Linked DNA regions of Arabidopsis thaliana. The protein of the gene in region 1 purifies or fractionates together with the protein of each later gene. This does not show direct contact. Each region holds a gene or a part of one and is shown on either strand. Other genes may lie near its edges. The genes, in order: LSP1 and BTF3.

Evidence for each region.
Region 2: the proteins of LSP1 (region 1) and BTF3 purify together in Arabidopsis thaliana (affinity purification with western blotting, with the first as the bait; one study listed by BioGRID). This does not show direct contact.

The regions. Positions count from the first base shown.
Region 1 is NC_003076.8:13,823,603-13,828,236, reverse strand, and holds LSP1 (Eukaryotic initiation factor 4E protein), read left to right. Parts: upstream 1-1,833; 5' UTR 1,834-1,905; coding exon 1,906-2,096; intron 2,097-2,256; coding exon 2,257-2,431; intron 2,432-2,529; coding exon 2,530-2,661; coding exon of another isoform or gene 2,662-2,667; exon of another isoform or gene 2,668-3,103; coding exon 3,104-3,169; intron 3,170-3,258; coding exon 3,259-3,291; 3' UTR 3,292-3,396; exon of another isoform or gene 3,397-3,616; intron 3,617-3,643; 3' UTR 3,644-3,813; downstream 3,814-4,634. UniProt on the Arabidopsis thaliana protein: Recognizes and binds the 7-methylguanosine-containing mRNA cap during an early step in the initiation of protein synthesis and facilitates ribosome binding by inducing the unwinding of the mRNAs secondary structures.
Region 2 is NC_003070.9:6,151,630-6,155,871, reverse strand, and holds BTF3 (basic transcription factor 3), read left to right. Parts: upstream 1-1,889; 5' UTR 1,890-2,006; intron 2,007-2,446; coding exon 2,447-2,514; intron 2,515-2,603; coding exon 2,604-2,752; intron 2,753-2,841; coding exon 2,842-2,898; intron 2,899-2,991; coding exon 2,992-3,030; intron 3,031-3,115; coding exon 3,116-3,300; 3' UTR 3,301-3,488; downstream 3,489-4,242. Other genes in the region: GER2 (NAD(P)-binding Rossmann-fold superfamily protein), read left to right, coding at 276-297, 430-1,394; EGY3 (ethylene-dependent gravitropism-deficient and yellow-green-like 3), read left to right, coding at 3,687-4,232.

The DNA.
Region 1 (4,634 bases):
TCAAATTAGAAGAATGTAGATGTCTTATCTTTTACTTATGAGCAAATTAAAGCTATTAAGTTTTTACTTCTTTTTTTTGTTAAAATGATGGTGGTCTTGACACAAGCACTAGCAAATAAAAAATTGCTTTAACTCCACCCTTTTTTGTTGTCAACCATGCTAAACAAACTGATTTGAATTGAGTCTCAAAAAAAAAAATAGAAGGTTTATCACTAAAAGTAACATAGTTTTATTATTATAGAGAAATACACTAAAATAGCATTAAGCTAAGTTTTTGTTCCAAAAAACCATAAATAGTTTTTTTTTCTTTCCAAAATGCCTCTACAAACGATTTAGTACAAAAATACCACAAAGTCTAAAAATGATTTCTAAAGATTTTAAACCTTCAAAACTAAATCCTAAACCCTAAAATTTAAACACAAAATATTAAATGCAGACCCAAAGTTTAAATTATAGGTGAATTTTAGTTTTGTGGGATTTTCAAAAAAAGTATCTTTTACTGGTACTGTTACGAAAAAAACTGATGGTGTTACTTTTGGAACAAAAAACTTATCTTAGTGGTATTTTTGAGAATTGTCTATTATTATATCTTATTATATAAAGTATGGTTTTCGATTTTAGATTTTGACACATGTAATCTTATTATCAATTTTATTAAATGAGTAAAAATATAAATATAAAAACCAAAGTAAAATATTAATATATCTTATATAAAACAATTTTAAAAAATTGAAAGAAGATAAATATTAGAAAATTATATGTATCTTATCAAACAAAGATAGAAAATATAAGATTACATATTATTTTAAAGAAATAAAAATGTAAAGAAGATAATTATATGTATCTTACTGAAAGAAATTATAAATCAATTACTAATTCTAATTTGAAATTACTAATTCTAAAAGAAAATTGATTACCGTCTTCCTAAAAATTTTAAAAAGGATTTAAGGAAACGATCTTATTATATTAAATATAATACATAAAGGAATTTTACAATTAATTATAATCTTAGAAGGAAAAAGATTTCAAATACTCACCTCTATATAATTAGTAGCCGGATTTTATGCGGTAACTGATACAGAATGTACAGTTTTTGCCACTTCTTCTCGTCTTAAGAGAGAACGACGGCGATCAAACAAACGTCGCCGAAGTTTAGGCGGCGAGTGAGAGTATATGAGTTTATCAAGCAGAGATTTGTAAGTTTTCTTGTTTTTGGGGGAAAAAGATTAGGAATTATAATAACTTTATTTTTTTAATTTATATTTGGAACTATAATATAAAAATCTTATTTACATTTTTAAAACTATTTTGTTTCTTTAATTTATCTTATTTTATATTAAAAATTTTAAAATTTATAATAAAATTACATGTACCAAAATCTAAGATCTACAAAAATAACACATGTAACAGTCATATGAATTACTAAATTTAAAAATCATGCTTTATATAATAAAATATCTTTTATTACTCTAGAACCTCTAATGTAAACAATATTTTCTAATTTGATACTACTAATTAAGATTTTGCATTGACAATATGAAAGAAATTCCGCTATTTGGAAATTAGATCTCATACCTTGGTGTATTTTTTTTTATTTTTTTTTTAACAACACCTTGTTGTAAAAAAAAATACTTTAAACCCTTGTCTATTGGGATTCCACTTGCAATTAATTTTGGAGATTTTTATTTTTACTTGTTTTTTAAATACCAAAAGACAATAGAAAAAGAAAAAAGAAGAAAAGAAGAGTTAAATGCTCTGATGGACCGGCCCAAAATTGACCCAATAGAGTCCAGAAATAGCCCTTTTCACTTCTTAAACCATTCCAAAATACATCTCAAAAACAATCTCTCTGTCCCTCTCTCGTAACCAAAAGCCGTCTCAGAAGAAAACTCAACTGCGAAGAATATGGCGACCGATGATGTGAACGAGCCTCTCCCGGCGGCGGCGGAATTACCGGCGACAGAGGCGGAGAAACAACCACACAAGCTCGAAAGAAAGTGGAGTTTCTGGTTCGATAACCAATCAAAGAAAGGCGCCGCCTGGGGAGCTTCTCTTCGTAAAGCCTATACTTTCGACACCGTCGAAGATTTTTGGGGGTTCGTCTTTCTCTCTTCTCCTTTGATTTCAATATTTGTCAATGCCTTGCTTTGTAACTTCTAAATCTGGGATTTGTATAGAAGCTATGGTTATTGTGAATCTCGATCTATGTGTATGGATCCGAAAATCTAAGGATGTTAATTTTTTGGTTATTGTTAGATTGCACGAGACTATATTTCAGACTAGCAAATTGACAGCGAATGCTGAAATTCACTTGTTCAAAGCTGGTGTTGAGCCAAAGTGGGAAGATCCAGAGTGTGCTAATGGAGGAAAGTGGACTTGGGTTGTTACTGCTAATAGGAAGGAAGCTTTAGACAAAGGCTGGCTTGAAACTGTATTACATTCTAACCCTAACCCTAACCTTTTACTCTTCTGTGTTTTGTTAGATGATATGTGGTTTTGGTGACTGGTTCTATTTCTTATGATATGTAGTTGATGGCTTTGATTGGAGAGCAATTTGATGAAGCAGATGAGATTTGTGGTGTGGTTGCTAGTGTCCGTCCACAGTCGAAGCAAGACAAGCTCTCCTTGTGGACTAGGACGAAGTCTAATGAAGCTGTTCTGGTATGATGTTTGTTTGTCTTCTCACTATGTTTATATTGATGCTGGTGTTGGCTATTCATGATTATGATTGTTGGTGGGATATCCAAATTTAGTTTGGTAAACTTTAGAAAATACTAACACTCGTTACGAGAATTCTTAATGCTACACAGAGAACTATATAGCTAGTGGGTTTTGATGCTTAACTTGCTTTGTTGCCTGTCCTTGAGAGTTTTACCAGCTTCTGATGATTGAGATACTTCTGCAATAGTAAAATTGTTGTTTTTAATGTTAAGGTTATATGTTGCGACTTATAAACATAATAGTAAATATAATAGTTCATTGGCATTATAAACATAACTATCTTTGTCAATGGACATCTGTTTTAAAACTTGGCAATATGTTAAGATTGGTTTATGAATCTATCTGATGAATTTATTACTTGGTGTTTGTTATTGTAATTCAGATGGGTATTGGGAAGAAGTGGAAGGAGATACTTGATGTCACCGACAAGATAACTTTCAATAACCATGTAATTACACTTCTCTAAAGAAGAAGCTATCATCTTTTTGTACATGTTTTAGATCTCATGTGGCTTAATATATCTTTGTCTATACGCAGGATGATTCCAGAAGAAGCCGGTTCACTGTCTGAAGAAACGAGTGTGAAGCCAGAGGAAGATGCAATATGGCTTTTTTTGTGATACTGTTTGGTCGGTTTACTCAAATAGCTGAGACATTTAGGGACATTCACTTTGAGGTGTAAACTCTACAAAGTTTTCTGTTTCATTAAAATGATTTTTTGTTATAAATTAAGTTGAGTTATATAAATCTCTTTCGAAACCACCACTTGTTAGACAAATACAGAGATAATATACTCTTATTAGCAACACCCTAATGCTTCTCTTTTGTATTTTGTTGGATCACATAGTGTTAGTACATGTCTATCGCATTTGTAATTATCACTATATGAATTTACAATCTTACAAGATCTTATTTCTTTGTAGGTAAATTTCAAGAATCTGGTAAAAAATTGATTTAGAGCAGGATTCCACGATTTTCCTTTGTATTAATTGTTTTTGTACTGTGATTTTGAACCTTTTTAATTAATACTGTTGCAGTTAAGCAGTAGTTTAGTCTTTTATTAGTTTTATCCTCTTTTTATATAGCCGTGAGATTATGATTTCTTCTTCAGGAAGAGTCTATACCATTTTGAGTTTATCTTAAAGTTGCTTGAACAAGGAGATATGGTCGATTACAAATTGTGGATCTTCCATCTCCGATTCACAGTTTTTGGGTCCTCTAAAATGGTTCAAAAAACCTTATAACAATTCGTTTTGATTATTTAAATATTCACTTACAAGTTGCTTAAATCTATTTTAGGTTTAGGATGGACTCATATTGAAATTATAAATACAAACAATGTGTCAATTGGCTACTGAACTTTTAAAGCTTAGAGATTTTGGATTAAGGAAAAAAATTTGATTAAGATTTTTAGTATATGTTTATAAATTAATACTCGATACTAAATACATTTCTTCAATTCCAAATCGGCTACCCGAACTGATTAATATATTGTATATTTTTTTAATTAATAAACTATCATAGTCTCATTGTTATTAATTATAAAAAGATATAGCCAAATCAGGAAAGAAACCAACATGTTTAGGATTGAACAAACACGAGTCTGAAATTGGGTTTACAGTTCATTTTGTTGTTAACAAAACTATGAGATTGCAATTTACATCAATGAAAAGTTCTTAAACAAGTTTTGGAAAAACAAATTTCAGATTCATATGGTTTAATTAATCATTTTTTTCTCCAAACTGGATATTAGTGTTTTGTCTTATGTTGGAGTCGTACGGTTCTATTATTGCATTGGTAGATATGTAGTCGTTGTTTAATCTGGTAATTTTAATCAACTTCTCCAAGTCTTCAGTTATGTTCGGAAGCAAGGTCCATCCTCAAAAGAAGGCAAATATTAAAAGGATATTAGGT
Region 2 (4,242 bases), on another chromosome or scaffold:
ACGTAACGATGGAAAAGTAAGCGAAATGGGCGGAGAGTGAGGTGACTATTTTATTTAGGCCCATGGGCCAGGATCCATAAACTGAATAACAAAATATCCGACACCGATTCAGATCGCCGGCGGATATTCAGATCTCCTCCACATTACATTCTCCAAGGAATTTAACCTTTACCTACAAATCTAAGCTTCTGTCGTTGACTTCGAAAACTGATATCTATAAGTCAAAATCCCCATTCTCAATCGCTCATCGTCTTGTAGAACTAATTGACTAAACAATGGCGGACAACACAGGATCCGGTACGTCCATCTCTCTATTTTATGTCTGAATATAATGTTTCATGTCTATATACGGAGTTTTGTGGAATTGAATTTAGATTTTCGTGGAAATTTTGGAACCCTAGGTCTTTGATCCCTCGTAATTCTGTGCAGAGATGAAATCAGGTTCGTTTATGTTAGAGAAATCCGCCAAGATCTTTGTCGCTGGACATAGGGGATTGGTTGGATCTGCCATTGTCCGCAAGCTCCAGGATCAGGGTTTCACCAATTTGGTCCTTCGAACCCATTCAGAGCTTGATCTCACTAGCCAATCAGATGTTGAATCTTTCTTTGCTACAGAGAAACCAGTTTATGTCATCCTAGCTGCTGCTAAAGTCGGTGGGATTCATGCTAACAACACATACCCAGCTGATTTCATTGGGGTCAATCTCCAAATCCAGACCAATGTGATCCACTCTGCTTATACACACGGTGTGAAGAAACTCCTCTTCCTTGGTTCATCTTGCATTTACCCCAAATTTGCTCCTCAGCCGATTCCCGAATCTGCGCTTCTTACCGGTCCGCTCGAACCGACAAACGAATGGTATGCGATCGCCAAGATCGCGGGTATTAAGATGTGTCAAGCTTACCGGCTTCAGCATCAGTGGGATGCTATCTCCGGTATGCCCACGAATCTGTATGGTCAGAATGATAATTTCCACCCGGAGAATTCCCATGTGCTGCCTGCTCTCATGAGGAGGTTTCATGAAGCCAAAGCCAATAATGCTGACGAAGTTGTGGTTTGGGGAAGTGGAAGCCCGTTGAGGGAGTTTTTACATGTCGATGATTTGGCTGATGCTTGTGTTTTCTTGATGGATCAGTACAGCGGATTTGAGCATGTGAATGTAGGAAGTGGTGTTGAAGTGACGATCAAAGAATTGGCTGAGTTGGTGAAAGAAGTTGTTGGGTTTAAAGGAAAGCTTGTTTGGGATACCACAAAACCAGACGGGACACCAAGGAAACTGATGGATAGCTCGAAGCTTGCGTCTTTGGGATGGACACCGAAGATTTCGCTTAAAGATGGCCTCTCCCAAACTTATGAATGGTATTTGGAAAATGTTGTGCAGAAGAAGCAGTAAAAAAAACAAGGTCCAAAACACAAAGCAATATTCATTCTCTTTACACGTGAATGTTTATGCGTTTGATTTTTGGTTCTATACAGATCTCTCTATCTCTTTTATGTAATTTTTGTATTCATGGATTTCATACAGTTCAAGTTAAGCAAACTTACTTTGTAATAAATGTACCATTGTTGTTGAGATTATCAATAATCGAATAGCTTTCTTCTCTAAATTTTAGTCAACTAAACAAGTCTGTTCATTGATAAACTCATTTAGATAAATTTGTGGATTTTGAAATTCTGGTAACCAAAAGATTATGGTTTGCTACGCGCTAATACTGGTGATTGATTACGGCACAAAAGAGCCCAGTAAATAATTATTGGCCCAGTTTAGTTTTGGGCCTTATGGGCCAATATTATCATCGAGCATCCAACGGTAGTGATGGAGATTTCTTTATGGAATATCTGATATCCACCGTTAGATTAAGAGACGAGGTTGGCTCCGAATAGCATATAGTTAAAGGGCAAAACCCTGCGCCGCCCGCGTCTCTCCTCTCTCTGTTTCTTTTCTTTTTGTTTCATTTTCTTATCTCCTCACACTCTTCGAACAAGGAAGAACCCTAATCTCAAGGTAAATTCATTATCACTGTAATTTTCCTTTCTATTAGTGTTTTATCTCTCCGGTTCTAGGGTTTCTCTAATCCCCGATTTTGCAAAATGTCAGATATCTTTCTTTCTTGATTCATTTCGCTTCTTTCTGTAGATAGGATTAGTTTTTGTCGGTGTTTGGGAATTTACTGGGTTTTCAACTTCTCTGTGTGTTTGATTGGGGGATTTGGTATACCTAATCGATTGAAAATGATTAAATTTAGGTTAAAACTACTAGTCACATCACCGTGTCTTCATACGCATCTGAGTTTAAATCTGTTCGCGCTTACTTTCTTCTCACTAGTTTCTTGTATAATAAGAAGTTTTTGTGAATGTATTATTAGCAGTTAATGTGTTCATTGATTCTTTTGGAAGTGATTTGGGGATTGATGGATTTTGCTTCTTATTATGGTTTATACACAGATGAATAGGGAGAAGTTGATGAAGATGGCTAATACCGTCCGCACTGGCGGAAAGGGTACTGTCAGAAGGTATAGAGTTTTATTCAACCAATTTCATTGTTCAATACTTAGCATTTACTATGATTTGTGTTATGAAACCATTCGATTTTTACTTGCAGAAAGAAGAAGGCTGTGCACAAGACCAATACAACTGATGACAAGAGGCTTCAAAGCACTCTTAAGAGAATTGGAGTTAACTCCATTCCCGCTATTGAAGAAGTTAACATCTTTAAGGATGATGTTGTTATTCAGTTCATCAACCCTAAGGGTAAGTCATTTTTAACCATTTTTTATCTATACATCAGAACCTTTTTTTCATGTTACTGATCATTGTTCCTCCTTTGAATGTTACTACAGTTCAAGCTTCAATTGCTGCAAACACATGGGTTGTTAGCGGTTCTCCTCAGACCAAAAGTATTGCATCTCATAATATCTCTTAATCTCTACTTTCTTGTTTCTTCTTCATTTCATCTTCTCTGATTAATGTAAACGTGTTGCTTCCTGCAGAATTGCAAGATATCCTTCCTCAGATCATCAGCCAACTTGGTGTGTACCATGTAACTGTACAGCTCTTAAATGTTCTTCATCGATCCTAAGGTCTCTAACTTTATGTTACTTTGATCTCTTTCAGGACCAGACAACATGGACAACCTGAAGAAGCTAGCAGAACAGTTCCAGAAACAGGCTTCTGGTGAAGGTAATGCCGCCTCAGCAACCATACAAGAAGAGGATGATGACGATGTCCCAGAGCTTGTTGGAGAGACATTCGAAACTGCTGCTGAAGAGAAAGCACCAGCTGCTGCTGCTTCTTCTTAGAGAGAAAAGAGCGAGACCACATCCAAAAAAAAACCGCACTTTGATTTTTACATATCTTTATAATATGTTTGTTCGCTCGATCCTTTTTGTAGTTTCCGACCAGAATCTTGTTTTCCATCTAATGACTTAAGGTTTTTATCCAATTATTTGATGTCTTATTGATTCTTTGACAGCAAATCAGGTCCTCGTCTTCTTCTTCCTCTTCACTATGTGGATTAGAAGATTTTGATGTGACACATTGTCTTGTTGCATAAAAACCATTCCACCTGTACTGTATGAGTTTCTTCTCAAACTTTCCAGACATTTCATCACTTTCTCTACAAATTCTCTCTCAGAGACATGTCTATTCGTCGTCAAATCTCAATCTTTCTGAGTTTTCGTAAACCATGGCTTCTCTCTTTGTTTCTACTCCATCATCTTCCTTAACTCTTAAATCCTGTCACAGTTTGCATCTTCGTCGCTTTGACAGAGCAGAATTTTCGAACTTTGGGAAAGCTTCTGTGAATCAGACAACGAGAAGCAGACATTCTTTGAGATGTTCAGCGGAAGATGATCGCGTTCGTGAACCTGTGAACGAAGCTCCTTCTCCGGTGGCGTTAGCGGAGGAGCAAAAAGAAGACCACGATAACAATAATGCGCCGCCTTCTCCAGAGAGCAGTGAAGAAGAGGAGGAAAAGAAGTCGAAGCAGCAAGAGATGGATTGGAAAACAGACGAGGAGTTCAAGAAGTTTATGGGGAATCCATCTATCGAAGCTGCGATAAAGCTTGAGAAGACGAGAACTGATCGTAAGCTCAAGGAGCTGAACAAGGAAAGCAACAGTGAGAATCCGATCATTGGAATTTACAACAGCTTGGCTCGTGATAGTTTGACTAAAGAGAAAGAAAGGCTTGAGAAAGCAGAAGAGACTTTCAAGGCTCTTGATCTCAACAAGGTAAAAAAAT